Schizosaccharomyces pombe: one gene and its partners. The protein of the gene in region 2 purifies or fractionates together with the protein of the main gene of each other region. This does not show direct contact. Each region holds a gene or a part of one and is shown on either strand. Other genes may lie near its edges. The genes, in order: apc11, cut20, nuc2 and cut4.

The links.
Region 1: the proteins of cut20 (region 2) and apc11 purify together in Schizosaccharomyces pombe (affinity purification with mass spectrometry, with the first as the bait; 4 studies listed by BioGRID). This does not show direct contact.
Region 3: the proteins of cut20 (region 2) and nuc2 purify together in Schizosaccharomyces pombe (affinity purification with mass spectrometry; 6 studies listed by BioGRID, with this or other methods). This does not show direct contact.
Region 4: the proteins of cut20 (region 2) and cut4 purify together in Schizosaccharomyces pombe (affinity purification with mass spectrometry; 5 studies listed by BioGRID, with this or other methods). This does not show direct contact.

What each region holds. Positions count from the first base shown.
Region 1 is NC_003424.3:1,641,311-1,644,921, reverse strand, and holds apc11 (anaphase-promoting complex ubiquitin -protein ligase E3 subunit Apc11), read right to left. Parts: upstream 1,842-3,611; 5' UTR 1,815-1,841; coding exon 1,796-1,814; intron 1,753-1,795; coding exon 1,630-1,752; intron 1,413-1,629; coding exon 1,270-1,412; 3' UTR 990-1,269; downstream 1-989. Other genes in the region: gid7 (WD repeat-containing protein), read left to right, coding at 1-989; img1 (mitochondrial 54S ribosomal protein bL19m), read right to left, coding at 2,619-3,167. UniProt on the Schizosaccharomyces pombe protein: Component of the anaphase-promoting complex/cyclosome (APC/C), a cell cycle-regulated E3 ubiquitin-protein ligase complex that controls progression through mitosis and the G1 phase of the cell cycle.
Region 2 is NC_003424.3:4,041,258-4,046,374, forward strand, and holds cut20 (anaphase-promoting complex platform subcomplex scaffold WD repeat subunit Apc4/Cut20), read right to left. Parts: upstream 3,368-5,117; 5' UTR 3,163-3,367; coding exon 2,925-3,162; exon of another isoform or gene 2,877-2,924; coding exon 2,657-2,876; exon of another isoform or gene 2,615-2,656; coding exon 2,492-2,614; exon of another isoform or gene 2,472-2,491; intron 2,401-2,471; coding exon 2,343-2,400; intron 2,317-2,342; exon of another isoform or gene 2,298-2,316; coding exon 777-2,297; 3' UTR 552-776; downstream 1-551. Other genes in the region: prp12 (U2 snRNP-associated protein), read right to left, coding at 1-507; MutL family mismatch-repair protein Pms1, read right to left, coding at 3,643-3,878, 3,920-5,117.
Region 3 is NC_003424.3:4,496,327-4,501,132, reverse strand, and holds nuc2 (anaphase-promoting complex TPR lobe subcomplex subunit Apc3), read right to left. Parts: upstream 3,038-4,806; 5' UTR 3,002-3,037; coding exon 2,698-3,001; intron 2,653-2,697; coding exon 2,482-2,652; intron 2,376-2,481; coding exon 853-2,375; 3' UTR 552-852; downstream 1-551. Other genes in the region: 1-acylglycerol-3-phosphate O-acyltransferase Slc1, read right to left, coding at 1-110, 174-499; alpha-aminoadipate reductase phosphopantetheinyl transferase Lys7, read right to left, coding at 3,344-4,057, 4,101-4,163. UniProt on the Schizosaccharomyces pombe protein: Component of the anaphase-promoting complex/cyclosome (APC/C), a cell cycle-regulated E3 ubiquitin-protein ligase complex that controls progression through mitosis and the G1 phase of the cell cycle.
Region 4 is NC_003423.3:389,251-396,537, forward strand, and holds cut4 (anaphase-promoting complex platform subcomplex scaffold subunit Apc1), read left to right. Parts: upstream 1-1,659; 5' UTR 1,660-1,738; coding exon 1,739-6,115; 3' UTR 6,116-6,787; downstream 6,788-7,287. UniProt on the Schizosaccharomyces pombe protein: Component of the anaphase-promoting complex/cyclosome (APC/C), a cell cycle-regulated E3 ubiquitin-protein ligase complex that controls progression through mitosis and the G1 phase of the cell cycle.

The DNA of each region.
Region 1 (3,611 bases), 2.4 Mb from region 2:
AGGTTTATCATAATGTGTTGAAAAACTTCTCTTTTCTATCTGACTACAAGGCAGATCCAAGCGAATTACCTACAAAGGAATATCATGTTTTTCACGATCACTCTGATGAAGTATGGCAAATTAGCTATTCCCATAATGGAAGATACTTGGCTTCAGCATCAAAAGATAAGACTGCCATTATATTTGACGTTGTCAATTTGAAAAGAGTTTTTCGTCTAATAGGCCATATTGATACGGTAGCATACATCAGATGGTCACCAGACGATCGTTATCTTCTCAGTTGTTCATGTGACAAGTCTGTAATTTTATGGGACGCATTTACGGGGGAAAAGTTACGTGACTATAAGCATGGGTTTTCTGTTAGTTGTTGTTGTTGGTTACCTGATGGTTTATCATTTATTACGGGATCACCAGATTGTCATATAACTCATTGGTCATTAAATGGCGAAATACTCTACAAATGGGAAGATGTCAATATTTACGATATGGCTCTTACTTCTGATGGAACTAAATTGTACATTGTAGGTTTTGAACAATTAATTAACGCCGAAGATAAACATATAGCTATTTATTCCGTTGAAACCAGAGAATGTATAAAAAAAATTTCGTTGCAGTCGAAAGTAACTTCAATTTGTTTATCAAAAGACTCGAAATATGCGTTGACAAACTTAGAACCACACACTACTTTTCTTTGGGATCTTGAAGAAAACCGAATTGTTCGTCAATACATGGGTCATAAGCTGGGGAATTTTTTAATCGGATCTTGCTTTGGAGGAAAAGATGATACTTTTGTTTTAAGTGGAAGTGAAGATGACAAAATACGTATCTGGCATAGAGAAAGTGGAAAGCTACTGGCAACATTATCAGGACATGTTAAATGCGTGAATTATGTTGCATATAATCCAGTCGACCCATATCAATTTGCGTCCGCCGGTGATGATAATACAGTACGCATCTGGTCGAATAAAGATAATCCACGTCGACAATAATGATGAGTTTTATGAGATAACAATTGACTAATGTTCATCAAACGTTGCTACTTTTTGAATAGCATTATGAATAATGAACCGTTGAAAATAGATTTTTTTGAATAGTTTTTGCTTGATATGGTGTAGTAGGGTTTTCCTGAAACTGCATGCTTCTATATTGTTACAGTAATAATTATTCGTTAACGAAAAAATGCTTCCAACTTTATCTCGTTTGTAATAATAATAATCGTGACTATTGAGTTGGATTCTTTGGAAGTCTTATTCGATACGTCAATCGTATTTATTGTGTTTCAGACTTTTCATTCGTAGAATCTGCTACCACAAAAGTTTGACGGTCCATCGGGCATTGACCTTGAGAACCGCTAGTAGCTAACCAGTTTTGAATACAGTGAGCATGAAATATATGCTTGCATTTCCCCCAAACTAGCGTAGTTAGCCTTTAATTAATTCTGTGAAAGCTGATGCCCATGATAAACTCTTTTTAACAAAAACAAAGTATGAATATTAGATTAAAGATTATTTGAACACAACCAACCCAATTGCGCAACAAATTTTCATGCTGATACCCCCTTAGGATGCAAAGTATACAAGTAAGCCTCCGCAGAGCATATTCAGGAAATAAATACAAACATATTCTTACCTATGGGGCAATTGTCTCCAGGACTTGTGCATTGAGGGCAGCATCCATCGAATGGAACACGACATATACCACAAACGTCGTCTTTTGGGGTATCCCACGTCCAGTTAGCAATTGCATGGTATCCTAGTGGTTAGAAAACAATTTTATTTCCAAAATATTCGCTTACTCAGTATTTTCACCTTCATAGTCTTTGTATATTGTATTTGAGATCTAATTAAATAAACATTAGTGTTTTTTGCTAGCTAATGTTTTACGTTCTACCACGGTATTAAGAAAACAATTCAGGCGAAAAACAAAATGTCGTAAGAAGAGAAGAGTTAGTAGATTTACAGTTGATATTTGGCTTTAGCTATACATCTTTTCGTTTTCTGAAAGTTTAAAATTTCTAACTAAAACTAATTTTCATTGGACTGTAACAAGCCGGCTACATTCGACATGCTAACAAAATTTTTATATTTATGATACTTTGCTTCTTTAGCTTATAACATATTGTTGAGCTCAAGTTTTATACTTTTTTACATGAATAATTTCAAATATTATTCAAAATAATCAAAGCGCAGAATTATGAAGAGGCAAGCCTACATACAGCTCAAATTTATAAGAAAAAAGTAGAGGTTTTGATTCATAGTGCCTCACAAATTCATCTGGGAAAATTAATGGCAATGACATGTGACTTGTCGATTCAAAGAATGAGAAGGGGGTAAAAGGCTCAAAGGAGGTGATTCATTGCCGTTTCATGGAATCGATAATACGTGTTTTGACAAACAGGCTAAAGCCGAAATATACATCCAAATCTCTAAATCTGTTCCAGAAAACCAACCAACGCCTCTTATAATGCAGTTCTAAATGCAATAGCCTGTAGAAAAAGACAAGTAGATAGGGAAACATAGAGTGTAAACGAACTATAAATCATACAGCGCTTCTTGAATAAAATCATGAAAGATTCGCAAAAAAAAAGAAATTTACTTGCAGAAGTTGCAATGATTGTGTCAAGGTTTATGTTGATTTTGTTCAATGTATTTTCGCACCAGTGATTCAACAGGTGGAAGACGAAAGCGAGGTTGACGCAAGTAACTTAAGTATGCTCTTCTAGGTCTTTTAGATAGACCATTTTCTTTGAGGACAACAATACGTTTAATTTGTGGAGAGTAAATTGGTAACAAATATTCGACTCCAACACCCATTACCACGTTTCGTAACAGGATTGAACTTTTTGGTCCACGATGCCGAATTCGCAGTAGATAACCAGCAAATCTGTTGACTGAATCTTTTGATGGGTATTTTGAGTAGCTTTCAACCAGTAAAACCGCGCCTGGTCTTACTCGATTTGGCTGCGAGCGATGAAACATTTTGAATCGCTCAGATTGCTCATCCAATACTGAACGGCACTTTTTTTCGAATAATGATAACACATCTTTGTGCTTTGGACCTGGTACTGGCTTTGGAAAGTTATAAGGCCGTTTTAACGATCCAATACCTCTCTTTTGTAGCCATTGAAAGCCCAATCCTAAATTGAAAAAGTGTTTGGCATTAAACATGTCTTCCAAAAGTCATTAAATACCGTTCGTTAGTAAGAATGACAAAACACTATATTCTACAGAGTATCTTTTTAAGTAAGTACGATGGTATTCAAAATGAATTAGCAAATTCTGCACAACGTATTTCGTTATATGTTATTTATTGTCAACCTTCCATTACGCTATATTAGACTATGTAAGTTAATACAGTTGATTATATATTTTTATATGATTTATCCATCAAGGATTGTGTTTCTGACCTTGAATGTTCAAGGCAATAGAAAGATTCCTGTTGAACCCGAATGAATATACGTGTTCCAATTCAGTTACATGGCTTCTCATTGTAGTTATAATACTATCAATAACTCGCTGGTATTCAGAAAACTTCAATAGCAAGATTTGCTTTTTTCTTTCCACCTTAATGTTCCATTTTCGTAAAAGATATTATTTTATATGCAATCAATT
Region 2 (5,117 bases):
AGCTTTATGAGCTTCAAGTGGTGAAGATATTGTTAGGTTAGCCTCTGAATCTCGATTTAGTACGTAAACCAGCTTATTTTTCTCCACAGATGCAATCATAGCGGCCCTCCCCTTCGCATCTATGGCTAAGTATTCACCAGGAACAACTCTTCGAATTCCTGATTTTCCAAAAGTTTCCTGGTATATTGGCACTAATTTATTTTTTTCAACGTTATATTCCAAAATGGTTATTCGTCCTGAATCCGACGTGACTACGAGATAATCGCGTTTAAAACCAGTTAATCTCAAAGGAGCAACATTTCGAATAATACCAAAACAATTTTGATTTAAAATACAATTCATTCTCCCATCAGTTGCATCAACTTTATATATAAGCAACCTTGATTCTGTAGCAATTACTATCTCCTGTGCCTTTTTACCAGACAAGGACGCGGCACACGAACTTTGAACATAATTACTATTCTGTATTGTTAAGGAATATAGAAACAGAGAAGGGAAGGTGTCCATCTCTATACTTTAGCTGAAACACGATCCTCGCTGAGAGAAGAAGTCAGTGTATCAAGGAAACTTATAGCAGAAGGTAAAAAACTTCGTTATATGTTGACTTTTCTAAATGAAGTTATTGCAATTGAAAATATTGTATAAATTTTCTGCTTTTAAATTATATTAAAGAATTAAAAAAAAGAAAAGAAAATTTAAAAGACCGCTACAAAAAATGTAACTTGCTCTTCAAAAACAAGAAAAAAAAAACATTACGACCATTAAACATAAGCTCATTAAAAAGAGAATAAACGATATCTCGAAGATTCCCTTGAAATAAGGACTCCGTAATCGCTATTCTCAGAAAGGGCATATTCGAGTGTTGAAGGAAGGAAATCCTTCTCAAATTCATGCAGCCATAGGCAACTGTTTAGTGGAATGAAAGGAAGATGACTGATAGCATCAAGGTAACTGTTTTTTTGCTGGTGCTCAAAAAAGGTTAAGGGAACGTCTGCTAAGCAAATTTCACATAAGAAGCACTTCTCCTTTAGTTTTCCAAGTATTAAAATACTACTTCCGTTTAAAAGCTTCATGTCTAAAACAGTTGCGGGCTGGAAATCCAACAGACTGCTTCCTAGTAATTCTGCATAATCCAAGCCAAAGTGGCATCCAGATACAGGCAACATAGTATTTTCCATAAGTTGGGAAATTATTAAGAATATATTCGGAGTATCCTTTCGAAAGAATAATGAAAATAATTGGTTTTTTTCATTACAGGATTTTGGTATAAGAGATGATACATTCCAATCAGTCCCTTCAAACAAAACAAGGTCTCCGGTTTTTAACCATTGCTTTTGACAAGTTAAAGAAGGGTAGCTAAAAATGACGTTGAATGAGTCTCTTAAAGATTCTTTCAAGGTTTTGAATGATACGAAATCATCAACAGAATTACTGTCGTCTTGATTTGCAAAATCCTTGAGAGAATAATAATCAGGATCTCTTAGCTGAAGGGGTTTTGTGCCCATAAAGTAACTTGTTAGTTTCGAGCGGAATAAAGAATGACGAATATAAATTACGGTTTCATTAATATGTTCAATAATCTCTTGCGGTGGAATAGAAGATGGTTCAGAAGTATTAAACTCGACGATAGCGTAATTCAACCATGAAATAAAGTGCTTCATATACTTTTTTTCCTCAAAAAGGCAATTGAGAAACGAAAAAACATTATTCTGTAAATAACCCAAAGTTGCTAGACAATCTTCCACCAATTTAGCATCTAGTAATGTGTTTCCCTTCATATGGCCCCATATTGACTTTCCTCTGGCAGAAGATAATAATACAGTTAACCTTTCACAAGCAGGTATTACGAATTCCTGACAGAAAATGATTAAGGACGTGTACGAATTCACCATCGCCCGTTCCCAATTTTTTAGTACTCGATCACCGACTCTTTCGTTGATCCATTCTTTGAGTAAGTCGCTGGGTATACCGTTCATTATAAATTGATATAACTCTAGTTGTAAAGAAAAGAAAGTTGTGTCACTGTACTTGGACACTAAAGCATCAAAGGTTTTAATAAAGCTAGCTTCTGATTTGAAGACATTGTCAAATTCTTCATACATAGCATTCAATACCTCCTCAAGATATCTTACCAAATGTTGCATACGTGTAGACATTGTTGCAATATCCACAATACTTCCCAAATCATTTTTAAGTAATGGCATATAAAGTGTTTTCAAAGAAATATTCGTTCCTCCTTTACAAATAAGAACATGATATGCTAAGTCGTTGGTTATGCTGTGTGAAATGGGAACCCCCTATAATTTGTGTGAGCAAGACATTTAATAACATGGGTATAATACCAAGTTCAAGGCTGATTTCAAAGAATCGCTTTCTCCGATTTTGTAAGACGAAAACATACTATGAATAGTTAGTACTTCTAATTTGTATCGATCGATAAAAAAACTTCTTTTAGAAAGATGCTAATAAATAAGGGGTTTTTGATACGCACTTTATGTATCTAATTCCACGTTCATCCAAAATACTTAAGAGCTCAACTTTTTTGTTATTTTCACCCTCTCGTTTCCTCGGCTCAAAAAATTGTGCGATTGCTTTTGAAGAAAATATACGTTCCCTAAAAAATGTAAGAGACAAGTCGCTTTGTGTTACTACTTACTCTTTTGCCGAACTAGGAAGTGTACCAAGTAAAGGCATATATGCAGTGGCATCAAATAAAAAATCATTGCGTTTTTCATTTACTATCGTTTCTTGCATGGCCCATGTTATCATTAGAACCGCTAAATCTCTGGAAGCTGGCCTTTGCTCAACCAGATGTCCTGTGGAGGAATCAATAATTTTAAGCTCTCCATTTTTAAATCCAACAACTATTAAATTCCCTATTTATGTTAATGATACAAAAAAAGTTTTCCAGTCGAGCCACGTACCATCGTGATTCCAACACAATTCAGTAGCCTCGAGATCATGAAAATCGACATCCCAAATTCTTTGACTGTTACTTCTACAGCAAATCAAATGATTTGAACACGTTAATATCGCAATGAGTTCCATAGAAGGGCATAAGATTACTCGTTTAAGGCCACTTCCAACCCTTTCAACTCTATTAGTTTCATTAATCCATTCAAATTTATGCTTTTTAGGGTATTTGAAAGATTTTGACACCATTTGGATAAGACTGGATGATTTTGGTGATTCGTAGAAGTTTGTTTATTGTAGTACAGCAAGTCAATAAAAGCCTGTTCAGGTATATAAAATATCTAGTGAATGGATAGTTTCAACAATTATCATACAACCTTTTTAAATTTGCTAGCATAGATGGTTTATTAGGAAGTAAGACTGATATTGCAAAACTGAAGTTGATGAAAGTTGTAGGGATACAAAACATTAAGAAAGCGATTATCCAACTGTGCATACCTCGTTAGTACGATGTTTATTTACATCTAAAGAAAAATCATTTCCTCATGGTTCAAGTTCGCTTAAAATAATTCTTTAATGATAAAAATTTCAATTGAGTTTGGCAATAAGAGATTCACTTTTAATAATTGCTGATTGCTATGTTTTAAATACATTGTAAATAAACCAATATTATTCATTAATTCAATAGCTGAAATTCTAGAATCGTTAAAAAAGTCTTTCTTTTACGCATTATATATCTTTTAATCGAAGGAGATGCCTCATAGTTGGCCTTCCATGAGGGCAATTCCAAGGCTTGCTCAACTCAGCAAGATGCCTAACTATTGTATTCATTTCGGATATAGTTAGAGCCCTACCAATCATGACACTGCTTCTACAAGCCTTTGAAGCAAGCATTCGCTCAAGCCTACTACTAAATGGGTCTATCTGTGGGTGCTCAGACAACACACTGATGATCTCTAGTAAATCTACAGAAGTTAAAGGTCAAGATCTTCGTTAATAAACTTACCACTAGTGTCAAAAATGACATTCTTACTCGTGGGAACTGAAAGAAGAGTGCAGCGATTACCAACTCGCTGATTTAAATCTATAGCAACGCCGAATCCTTTTCTTCGAATTAAATCTATATGGTCAATTAAAACAGTTTCCTCTGTAGCAGCTAAATCCAGTCTTTTTGGAAGGACTAAGTCTTGGCTGTTGATAACTAAATTACTTTTGAGATGTTCATAGTTGAACTTTTCATCGCTGGCATGTTGATCAATTATAAACAAATTGTTTCCATGAACAACCACTATGAATCCTCTATTGAATTGACCAACAACCCTCATTCTTAAAAAATCGGCTTTATGTACAGTTAGATTCAAATGATCTTCCTGATTTTCATCTGAAATATCATGCACCACGCCAATCTTGTTCGAAAATTTCAGTAAGGCATCGCTTCGAACAATATCTTTTTGCACTCCACTCAAAGATATATTTATTTTTTTACTAAACTTGTTTAAACCATCCAAGGGCCTAGATTGAAAAAATTTGAGCTTTTGTAGCGCTGCAGTTTTTGACGGAATTCTGTTCGCAACACTGGTTTGCTCAGTACGAGGAATGCTCGAGAGTGTGGAAACTGATTCTGCGTTGTGTACCGACTCAATCTCGTTTAAATTAATTGTTTTAGCAACAGGTGTTGATGCTGGACTTGGATCATTTAGTAACAAATTGTTAGGATTCGAGCTAGGTTTATTGATGGGTTGCTTTAGTGGGAAACTAGAGTCTATTGTTTTCTGCATAGAAGTATCAGTACTAGAAGCGAATAGGGCAAGCTTTTTCTTCATTCTTTCGGAAGAGGCCGTAACTTTTTCGTTTAATGGGCTACTTCGTCTCATAGAATCCTTTTGCAAACGCTCTGGCAAAGGTTTGGATACTTGTGCTAATGACGCTCCTTCTGCAACACTAGTGGATATTGCTGGTTGAGCAGTAGCTTCTACGAGCTTTCTTTTACATGGTGAGCGTTTATAAGAAAAACTTGAGTCATCACTTGTTTCGGATTCTGTTGCTGGAATTGACTGAGGCAATTCCTGATCTGTACTGTCTCCAGAGGAATCAGGAATTTGCGAGGAATATGAAAAAATGGATTGCGATCTGGAACAAGAAATTGCATGTCCGCAGCTTTCACATAGGTTTTGCAAGGAGTTTTTAATAAATTCAATTATGGA
Region 3 (4,806 bases), 460 kb from region 2:
CAGACAATATCATAAACCATCCCAAAATGGGCACATATCTTAGAGACTTTTTAGCAATAACAGAATAATTAGGGCCAAAAGTCCTTCCTATAGCCAAAATATCCAATTCACTAATTAAAATTGTAAGTCAGTTATTTTTTATCATAAAGAAGTATATTTTGAGGTATGCTTACGATTGATGATTAACTACTAAGACAGCAGACTTATGTTTTCTCAAAATTTCCTCGTTTTCGATTTTAAACCGAAAGTCAAGGATTGTACTAGCCAGTCCATAATATGCCTTTGCAGTTAAATATTGTCCCATTACGGGATAACCACATAAACGTGCAACAACTGAGGCTATAACCCCATAAGCAGAACTAATAGCTAAAAATGTGTGACATGCGAAATAGCGAAAGTGATATCTAATACATTTCGGGAGAGTAAAAAATCGGTTGATTCCGCACAAACCAACAAATACTGTCACAGTAGCAAGCAGCGTGCTCTTAATAAAACCCATTTCGAATATGTACACAGTAGAGAAGAGCAAACTTTCAACAACCCTTCCTTTCGTTTTAAAGTATGGTTGGTGCGGTGATAGTAACGTTGGTGATTCGTAATAAAAATGAATGGCCTGAGGACATTTCATTAATTGCACACTTTAAACTTAAGTTATACCCACGGTGATTTTATACACAATTTTTTTTATCATTGGTTATTAATGATATCTATTATACCTTTATTTTAATATATAACTTCTAAACGAAAATCATCATTTTTAAACCTAACCAGAATGAAGACGTAAACATTCTAACTCATTAACTTATTCATTCGACAATTTTTTGGCATCCCTAAAATACAAGACATAATTTCTTAAGTTTCCAGATTCCTATAAATTTCACCTGTTTCAGTTAACAAATTTTCTTCGGGAATATCCAGATTTTCAATCGATTCCTTAATAATATGCGTAGCCTTGCCGTCTAAGTTCCATGCTATAGTGAAGTGCTTTAAGGCTAAATTTTTTTTCCGCATTTGCTTGAAAATTTTGCCGAGCAAAAAATGAACATTTGCTTCATCTGGCGCAATTGCCTTTAATTGTTCCAATTCAACGAGTGCTTTATCGTGATCATGTAATAAAATAAGCACTTTGGCTTTCTTGAACCTGGCAAGCGAAGACTTTTCATCCAGTTTACATGCCCGATCATAAAAATCAAGTGCTTTTTTGTAATCTTTGCAGCGTTCGTAAATCATACCAATACAAGTGATGAGTACAGAGTTGTTAGGATTGATCTCTGCAGCACGTTGAAAATGAAAGTCTGCTTGATCATTTCGCCCTGTTTTTAAATAAACCATTCCCAGGCCATACCATGCATTGTAATGTCGAACATTTACTCTAATTGCTTTGCGGAAAGATGTTTTCGATTTTTCGTATTCTTCGTTTGCAGAATGCTCGTGCCCTTGAAGCGTATAAGCATATTCAAAAGTTGGATCCAATTGAATAGCTCTATTAATACATTTTAATGCCTGCGAGTGTTCACGTTGAAGTGAGAAGCAATTAGCAAGAATGCACCATGATTCTGGGGAATAAGGATTAGTTTCCAAAGTTTCATGGGCAAGGTAAGATAAAGGAACAGACTTTTGCAAATGCCAAAGTGCAGTTGAAAAGACTTCCATATCTTTGACACGTGAAGGCGACAAGTCCCTTAATTTTTGAAACACTTCTTCAGATTTTTCGTAATCAACCAGTTCAAAGTAGGTTATTCCAAGCTTTGCAAGAACAAAAGGTGTATTTTGCTGTTCGATGGGCAAGCTTTGGAAACAATTTAAAGCCTCTCGTAACTTATACTGGGCGAGCAGGTAAACACCCTTACCGAATAACTTTAGTAATTCCATCAAATTATTGTCCTCTTCGCGGAAGCTTTGAGGTGTGCTCTCTCCTCTTTTAGAACTTCTCGCTTCGCGTAATTTATATGTTAAACGAGCTCCTGGTCTTAATGCTTGGGTTCTAGGTTCCACAAAGTGGGATTTTAAAGACGTATCCCTATTGTTAGAATCAGCTTTTTGAGCATCATTGAAAGCCAAAAGGTTTTTGCTAGTCTGAGATTGAGATTGTAATTTCAAGCTTTGATGTCGTTCCTTCTCACTTCCTGGAAGCTCAGAAGCGTCAACCCTATCAAACCACTTAGTAAATGCTGAAATGGATGAGTTTGAATAACTATTTGCTATCGATTCAGAAACCGAAAACTTGTTGGAAGATGAGGAAGACTCTTTACTTTTCTTCAAAAAAGACGGTTCTGGTACCGAAGCTGTAGCATTCGTTTGAGATTTTTCAAAACCCTTCATTGCCGTAAGGTAGGGTGGAATAACAAATACATTATTAGCATCGAGTGGCACGCCTATTCAGCAAAATATATTAGCACAATTATAGAAATAAACGAAAATAAGTATTTTTTTTTGACAAAAGTGAATTTACTAATTCACAACAAAACATCTGTCACATACCTATTGCAGTTAAATTCTGGAAAGCAGAGAAATTATATGGGTTAATGGAGACAGCTTCTACAAAACAATCTGTAGCTTTTTTGAGGAACCCTGCCTTTTTATACATAGTACCCAAAACATCAAGCATGCAAGAGGCATCTGGATGTCCACGACTGCTAATTGAGTCATTTACTAGATAACTTAGTTAGAGGTTTCGCGAAATAAATCACCACATACTGTTTGGCTGAATGGAGCGCCAATTCGATCGACAGGCCTCCACAGCACTTATTCCTTGTTTATATCTGCCTAAAATAAGGCTGGTCCTTGCAAATAAGTATGTGCAAGGAACATGACTAATTACTCTATCTAATAAGTCGTATACAATATTGTAATCGAGGTTTAGGAAATGCGAATATGCCAAAAGATACAAACTCTCGTTTGAATCTTCAATTGCATGTAAACGTTCTGAATAAAAAATTGAATTATCATAATTCTGATTATCAATGCAATACCATATTAAACATTTCAATCGATCTGTCATGACAAATCTATTAAAGTTTTGGAAACGATGGGAGTTAATGTCAACAAAAACATGTGGGTACAAACAGGTGGTTGTTATTGTTTGAGCTCCATCGTTAAGATATGTTAAATCTTATAAAGCAATGTAGCATTTTAGTAAAAAAAACATATAAACAAAAATAGGTAAATCATCTGGATGGTGTATAGAGTTGTGTAAACTCTGATAAATCCAAAAAGAGTTTGGGTAAATTATCAGAGAATAAAAAAACACTACTAATGCAACTCGATCCAAGCATTAAGGGAGACAGGCAAAGGAGGCATCACGGTCTAAAACAATGCGATGATACATGTTAATAAAAAAAAATTACAAGTCGTTCAATGTCTCCCAATTTAGATCCATTATTACGCAGTCTTGTGGAAAGGCGACACTGACGTAAAAAGTACTAGAGTGAAGTATTAGTTTATGAATTTCCAAGTCCCAAGAATATCCTGAATACACTGCAGTTGCTGCTCTTCTTAAAGACACTTCCTCGGAATTTAACAGCTCATTTAATTTATGAAATGTTACCACAATATCCAAAGGGTTTCCACTTAATCCGATACCGAGTGCTTTCAAAATCGCTTCTTTGCAAGTCCAGAGCAAAAAAAAAACATCAATACTAGAAATTGAACTTTTAATCAACTTCCATTCGCAAGGAGTAAATACACTCATGAAATCTTCCATCCATGATGCTTCAAAAGCTAACGGTTTACATTCGACGATGTCAACTCCAATATTGATCGGTCGCATTCCTGAAGGATCTGATGGAAGCCATGCTCCTACTACAATTACGATTCCCCCATAGTGGGATACATTAAAGTCAAATATAATAGGAGGACAGTGTGCTGATTGGCAATACGGTCTCCCGGCTTTTGTGACAGAAATTTGTACTTCATTTGGTGAACATTCGAGAGCCGTGGAGACTAAGTGCCTTTTAATAAGTATAGAAGCCAATGCCATTTTAGCATCCATGTCGAAATAGTACCTCTCAATTTGTTGTCGCTCAGAATCGCTCAGTTTTTTAAAACTGGGTATCCTCTAACGTATTAGAAAAATTGTTTAGATAAAACTAAAAACATACAGTTCTTTCAAAAGGCCATGCTTCTTGAGTATCTATTAATAACCTATATACTTTTTGTTTCATATATTGCTATTTAAATCGAATGAAATACTCTTCAATGAGAAACTACAATAAACAATGCCAGAATTTCCAGGAAACACAAAAACAAGAATCACTCATAAACTCGAAACCAACCAGAAGAAGAGTATAATTTCGTTAGAAGGCAATCAAGATAATTTCTACCAATAAATAGTAACATGAATTATGAAGCGTGACATTAACGCAAGTCGACAGTACTTTCCGAAAAAATATATTTTTTGTTCTACCTTGGAGAACAGCTTTTCTTTAATTTGCGAATATCTATTAACAGTCATAAAACGTGTTTATCGCAGAAGATTTAATTTCGTTAAATTTACTGATAGAACGTAAGCGGCACAATTTGAAGAGTTTGCTGCTTCGTTCTATTGCTTCTCTTGACCACCACCACTAACCCAACCACTTCAGTTGAAAATTTATTATCAACTCATCTGGAGGGTATTTTAATATTTAACGGAATACAGAACGTTACATTTGTTTGTCTTGTTCCGTTCCAATAATAATCTATAATTGGTGTTCTTTCTTTCAGTAGAAATAGGAAGAAAAGAACTCGGTTGTTGTATATAAAACAAACGAACTAATTTAAGGTTTTAATATTCGGTGGTCTCTTCAGTTTTATTACTTTGAATAA
Region 4 (7,287 bases), on a different chromosome or scaffold from region 2:
GTTCTATAACTTCTGGTGGATCAATCGCAATCATTTTTCATTTCAAAGAATTACTAATTGGGTCTATAGAAAAATCATTTCTTTTTATTTCAGACTATTTTGTTTGTCATTGAATTTCCTACATTAGCTGCTCTGGTTTATTGTATCATTAACTTTTAACATAAAGAACCTCAACAAGTCATGCTAATTTGACATTATAGAATGTAAGTATATTAAATTATGATAAACTATTTATTGCAAAAGCAGGATGGATAGTACATTATAGAGCATAGAAATTGTTGCAAAGAAATCCACAGTTTATTATCTAAGATATTTACTTTATGGAGATATTAATTTAGAAGGCTCATAGCCGTATTTTTTTGCATTATAAGCCATTTGTTTCACTGGCTTTATATAGTCAATATGCGACTCATAAATTCATTAGAGTTATTCTCTCGCGAAAAATCATTGAAATGTGGGGCCTGATCATTGTTGTAGATTTAAGCAACATATAACCGAAGCTAATGAGAACAAATTGAAGCAGAGTTTTTCTGAATACCAAATACATTTTTGATACTCCAGGGTTGCAGAGTTTTTGCCTTCAGAGCCCATTGCAAGTATGTTCGGTTTCTAAGGGTTTCCTCACTTCATACATAGTTAGATTTGTTCCTCAATTCTTAATTTTTCGCTGACTTCGTGACGCTTTCTACTATAATCATGTTACAAACTAATATATAAACAAACTAGTGACCTTTAGGATTAAACGAGAGGCAAGCACAAACCACTTGTTCCATTCAAGTTACTGCAATATTTTTATGGAAGATATTAGAAAATTAGCAGAATACTCACCAAGTTTGTCACAATGCAAGACGATGGCAAAAGATCCTTAAGCTCATTCCATATTAAAAATGTCGTAAGTTAGTAAAATTTAAAAATAGTCAAGTCCTTCATTTTGAAGTTTTTTGTTTATTACTCGACCAAAAACAAATTGCCTTGCAATCGTTACCTTTTATGCTTTAGCACCTATAATTATCCTGTAGACAGAAATTACCTTTTATATAGCAAACATTATTATACCCAAATAATATTTAACATTGAAATCTTCATAAATAAATGAATAAAGTATGGTAAAATATTATTTACATCCCCCTATACAGCTATATGGCTCAACCTTTATACAGTAATAAAATGTCTAAGTAGTCCTGCATGTTATGATAGAAACACCCAAAGCCTTCACTCTAAACTTCAAGGAATTTACTGCTTGCTTTTGTCGTACACACTCCTATAGTAAGGCATCTTATATTCCATATGGATCCTCGACACTGGGGATGTAAGTACTGACTTGTAGTTTGAAATGGCAAGTCGGTCGTCTATATCGACATGATTTTATAACTAAATTCCTGTAAAAAAGAGAAACAAAAATGATATTTTAATGCATAAAACAATTTCCCGTTAGAGTATTTTTAATTATCAGTATTCCAAAAAAAAGATTTCTAGTCTTCAAATAAACCAATGCGTGATAAATACTGGAATTGGGGAATATAAAGATCCAAGTTAAATTTAATTGATTTTGTAAAAGCACTAAGTTCTGTAGGTTGACTTTTTAATTGTCTAGCTAACGTAAGTTTGGTAAGAGATGCTGGTTTGTTTACACTAGATATACGCTGACACTCAGATTTCACCTACAACTTCATGCTAAAAAGGAAATGCGAAATTGTAAACGGAACTGAGTTATTGATTATCGTTACTAGATGCTGAAATGCTAGAATTAAAAACAAATGTTATTCAAGACCCTGAATTAAAGGATTCATTAGATTTGCAAGAGAATGATCGGGTTGAAATCATTGGAGATGCTGTGCATTATATTGTGAATGACCATTTAAATCGTGTATTTAATTATACCGTAGATCAACAAAAGATACATGCTGCCCTTATTACTACATTTGCATCTGGAAAAAAGGCAATTGTTGTGATTCTGGACGACATTGGATATGTATACTATGTGGGCGACAATAATAATGATTCTTATATTATAAACGTTCCTTTTTCAACAGAAAGCGCATGGAGTTCACCAAGTGGACTATATCTTCAGCGTCATCGTTCGAGCGATGAGAATCTGAATACTGACTTGCCTCATATTTTTTGTCTAAACGATCCTTTAGATGAACTTACGTTAATAAAATTTGACGGAAAAAAAATACTATCTCTGTTTGATTCAATCGTTTATGTCGTGGGAGAGATCGTCGTAACACATAATAAAAAAGAAAAAAAATTGAGTTTTTGGAGGAGTCGCTTTATTGATCCAGAGTCAGACCAGTCAATAAAAAGCTCACGTAACAGAAGAAGGGAAAGCTCTTTTTCTCGTGAAAAGAATCCTGACTTAACTCGCTCTGATTCTATCCATTATACCGCCAATACTCGTCTTTCTGAAAAATTCGAGGAACAAGGACTCGCTTATTCGACCATATTTTCTCACATAGAGTCTTTTCCTATCACCGGAAGTACTTCGTTTGATTCAATCCTTGGAAATGGTGTTTTGGTCATCACCACTTTAGTGAAAGAGCTTGAAAAAGGCTACATGATGTTGTTTCGCCTTGTTCGTGACAGATCTCCTTACTTCTTAGATTCGCTTCAACTACATGCAATAAATTTGAGTGCTATTAAATCTAAGCATTTGCAAAAAATTGTTGTTCTGTCTTCAAAGGGGAAGGTGAGTCTCGAGTCTCCAATGTCGCCATCTTTGCCTATTGAGGGTACCTTTCGTTCATTTCGTGTGCATGGTGCCACACTTTACTTAGAGGACACCGATGGAGTGCAGAGGTATATATCTCTAGATAACAGAGCATCCAATAGCTTGGTAAAATGGTGTTTAAGTGTTATTCGTTATGTTTTGCCCTTGCGTGAATATGAAATTTTTTATACTGGACATCTTTACGCGCTTTTTGCTTTTAAGCTTAGCCATGATGAGGCTTTCATATCTTCAATACTCGCCTGTTTCACTTTCTTTTCTCGAGATAAAGTTCATGTTGAACCAATTGAAGATTGCAATGAAGCTTACAGTCTGTCCTCTAAGTTTCATTTTAAAAAAGAAATACTTATTGCTTCTCAGCTCTCATCTCATCTTGATTACTCAACATTCAAAAATTACTTGATGCCCTTAGCTATTACCTTACATTTTATATCTGAAGAATTGCGGTTGGATTCGGTTGTAAAGCCTCGTAAAGATCAGCTTGTAGCTTTATTACTTCAAATCACCACGTGGTTGAAGTGGCCACGGTATTGCGAGTATTATAACTTTGATATCGCTGAAACATTTCTATCTATACCCTTATCGATTCAAGTTGATGTTGAGGAACCTGTTGGTCCAACATCGATTTTACAGTGGATTATTGAATGTTTAAGGTCGCAATCTACAGTACCTTTTTATGGCTTGGAAAGTTATGGGCTACCACATTCTTGCTCTACTATGTTTCCCCAAACCCTTTCTTTAATGCAGTTACTCGATTGCTTGCTAAATCCTAATATGACCCTTCAAAACTTAGTTGAAGAAATGGTACGGTTAGGAATTTCAAGAAAGAGGTGTGAAAGATACCCATTTGGAATTTTATGCATTATTTTTACAGTACTCGAGATTGCCGCTGAAGAGTATTCTCCGAATTGGGAAAGCGAAGAGCTTCGATTAGTCAATCGCCTTGACGTTGATTCATTCTTACATCCAAAGACACCTAAATGGGTTTTTAATAAGCAGGATCAAGAAGTCAAAGAAATAAAAGCACTCACTAGTACAGTTACCGATTCTACACTTGTTGACACGCAGTCGTTTCATCCTTATAAGGTTGTAACGGATATGATTTTTAGAGAGGATCGACGACTGGCAGAAGTGAATAAACTTTTAAATTATTCAAGTCAAATCACCATAATGACTGAACACTTTGATGTCGACTTGAGTTCAGTACCAATGCAACAAAAAGTTGCTCAATGCATTTGCGTTAGAACATTGTCCGTGCCAATTGGAGCGGGTATGCTTACGTATGGTAGTAAAAATCCTTTACCTACGGAAAAGGTCACTCCACGATTATTTAATTTTACATTGCACTTGCATCCTGGAACTTTAATTATACAACCTAATAAAGAGTTCGTAACACAGGAATTAACCGAGTGGCCAGAGTTTAATGTTGGCGTTGCATTAGGATTATCGATATCTAAGTTTTCAAAGGAAATAAACACTAGTTGGATTATGTTCAATCGACCTGAAACTTTGACTGCTTACCATGCGGGATTTCTTTTTGGTCTAGGGCTAAACGGTCATTTAAAGGCCCTTGCTACCTGGCATTCTTTTATTTATCTTACTAGCAAGCATGATACAACCAGTATAGGCCTTTTACTTGGACTTGCATCCTCGTATTTGGGGAGTATGGATGCAAAGGTTACAAAATTGCTAAGTGTGCACATTTCAGCATTACTGCCAGTTGGATCTAATGAATTGAATATTTCACCATTAACTCAGACTGCAGGAATTCTAGGAATTGGTTTATTATTTCATGATTCGTGTCATAGACGCATGTCTGAAGTGACCATGGAAGAGATTTTGGCTTCTAATGAAAGCGAACTAAAGAATGAAGGCTATAAGTTAGCTGCTGGATTTTCTCTTGGTTTAATTAATTTAGGGAGAGGATCTAATCTTCCAGGCATGTCTGATTTAAAACTCGTTTCAAGGCTACAAGTGGGAATATCTAGTCAGGCTACATTTCAGTCTTTAGAAGCCGGTTCTCCCGGGGCCATTATGGCTTTGACTATGATATATATGAAGACTAATGATTTGGAAGTTGCGAAAAAAATTGATATTCCTAAATCGCGATATCTTCTTGATTTCTATCGTCCAGATCTAATACTTTTGCGAGTTGCCGGTAAAAACTTAATTATGTGGGATGAAGTCAAAGCAGATTATGAATGGGTGAAATATCAAATTCCTGATATAATGCTCTCACAATTTGATTTACAGGAAAAAAAGGTTCTCTCTTCTGACGACTTGCTGCTTTATAATGTCTTAGCAGGGATTTGTTTTTCTTTAGGTTTAAGGTTTGCTGGAACGGGTAATCCGAAAGCCAAGGAAATTCTCATCAACTTTTTAGATAGCTTCATTCGGTTGTGTCATCTGCCTGCTAAAACACACGATGAAAGAGTAACTGCAGTGACTGTAATTCGCTGTACACAAATTGTCGCTTTGTCTTCTTCTTGTGTTATGGCGGGTTATTGTGATCTAGATGTTTTGAGAAGGTTAAGAGTACTACATGGGAGAATGGAGCCTGTGAACTACGGGGCTCAAATGGCTACTCATATGGCGCTCGGAATTCTTTCGCTAGGTGGAGGAAGGTATAGTTTGTCTCGCAGTAATTTAGCAATCGCGGCTTTGTTAATATCATTTTATCCGCAATTTCCCAGGACTACTCAAGATAATCGTGCACATTTGCAAGCTGCTCGAAATTTGTGGGCTTTAGCTGTGGAAGAACGTTGTATTATCCCGAGAAATCAAGATACCAAACAGCCATGCATAGTGCCATTAAATGTTGTTCAAAAAAGCGGCGCAGTTCAAAAACTAGAAGCGCCTATACTTTTGCCGCCGTACGATAGCATTAGTTCAGTGTCGACGTTGGGTGATAAGTATTGGAATTTAAAAATTGATTTGGACAATAACAGTGATTACCGTGAACTATTAAGGGAATCACAAACACTGACACTGATGCCTTATGACCGAACAAGTTCAAAAGAAGAGCCACTTAATCTATTCCCTAAGCTTAAAGATACCTCAAGCCCACTTTGGAACTTGGTAAAAACAAGCAGGTTGTTCCAAAGCTCGAATAGCCCCTTAAACGTTGCATCGTTACAAGAATCAAATAATAAAACTTCTCTAGGCGTTAAATTACTCCTGTCTATGGACTTTGATAATTTAACTAGAGACCGTTTATTAAGTTTGCAAATACTGTTACAATTTTTTGAGTCTTGTTGGACTGGTGTGCTCTTGAATAAGTTTCACTCCCGTCAATATCTTTTCCTTTCTCGTGATTTGGTAGAAGATTTGAGTTTGAGAGTATGGGAGTATGTGTATTCTCATAATCATAATGAAGAATCTGTATAATTATGAACTACGTTTATTAATTATATGATATGCTAATGGGCTGAATGGTTTCCAAAAATCTTTTCCATCATATCAATCCTTCAAAAGGAAAATTGAAGTTTAAAAAAATAGAACCCCTTAAAATTAACGACTTGTATAAATACCTTAATGTCTCAATTAATATACAAGGTGGCATATCCAATGCAACACTTTTTTCACGATCATGATTAATAGCTATCTTCAAATAATGGTTTGTTAAAAGGAAATCGAAGTTAATAATAAATTGTTAATTGGAATACTGATGCTCAAACTATTTCACTGGGCAAAGTAAAAAGAATATTATTGCGACAACTACTAAGCACCCATGGTTCTTCAAGGGGTAATACCGCCTGTCTCAAGGCGCCGTTGAAAATAGATTAGCTTTTTTATCCTTTTTCTATATCTTTTCCCTCCTTTCGTTAATTAATTGATTTAAGCATGACACTTCGAGCTACTAACTAACACTATATCGTTGTATGCTGTTTACATAAGTTCTTGATGTTCGAATCTATGACTTTCGAGTAACGGTTCCAAATATTATAATTTAATGAATTACACCCGATAATTAATACACTGTATTAAACCATCTAAATCCACCTGACGAATTCAATCTTAAAATTTAAATAGAAGTCTTTAAATCCGACATGCACTGAGATGCTGAAGTTTTGTAACGATCTACATTAAATTCCCCTATTATAATTTACGTACGATTATTCGCCTCATTAAAAATTCCTTCGTTTTTGAGGGGTAGTAAGGGCATGACTTCAACCTTGCATCCTATGACACAACACTTCTTTCGTTAGCAAAACACAAATTGAAGCTTGCGAACGCATAGGAAGTGTGAATAGCTCGTTTCTCGAAAGCCGCTAATTCTACAAAAGCTTTCTGTATCAAAAAGACTTGTAGTTTTACTTAATACACCTTTGGTTCTGCGCTAAGAGTGAAAGGCTCAGTATTGTTGTGAAAACCGTGAATCTGTAACGTCGGTTTATGTTAATTTGTATTTTTGAACGCTTGCTATAACTATTGTTATCTATTTTTGTCTGCTATAGATTATCTTTGAAGGACTCAGAGTCGATTTAGCTTATCTTCTTATTTTTTGTCTCAGGTGTATCGAATTATCGTTCGTGTTCATTTGTACTTTTGGAATAACA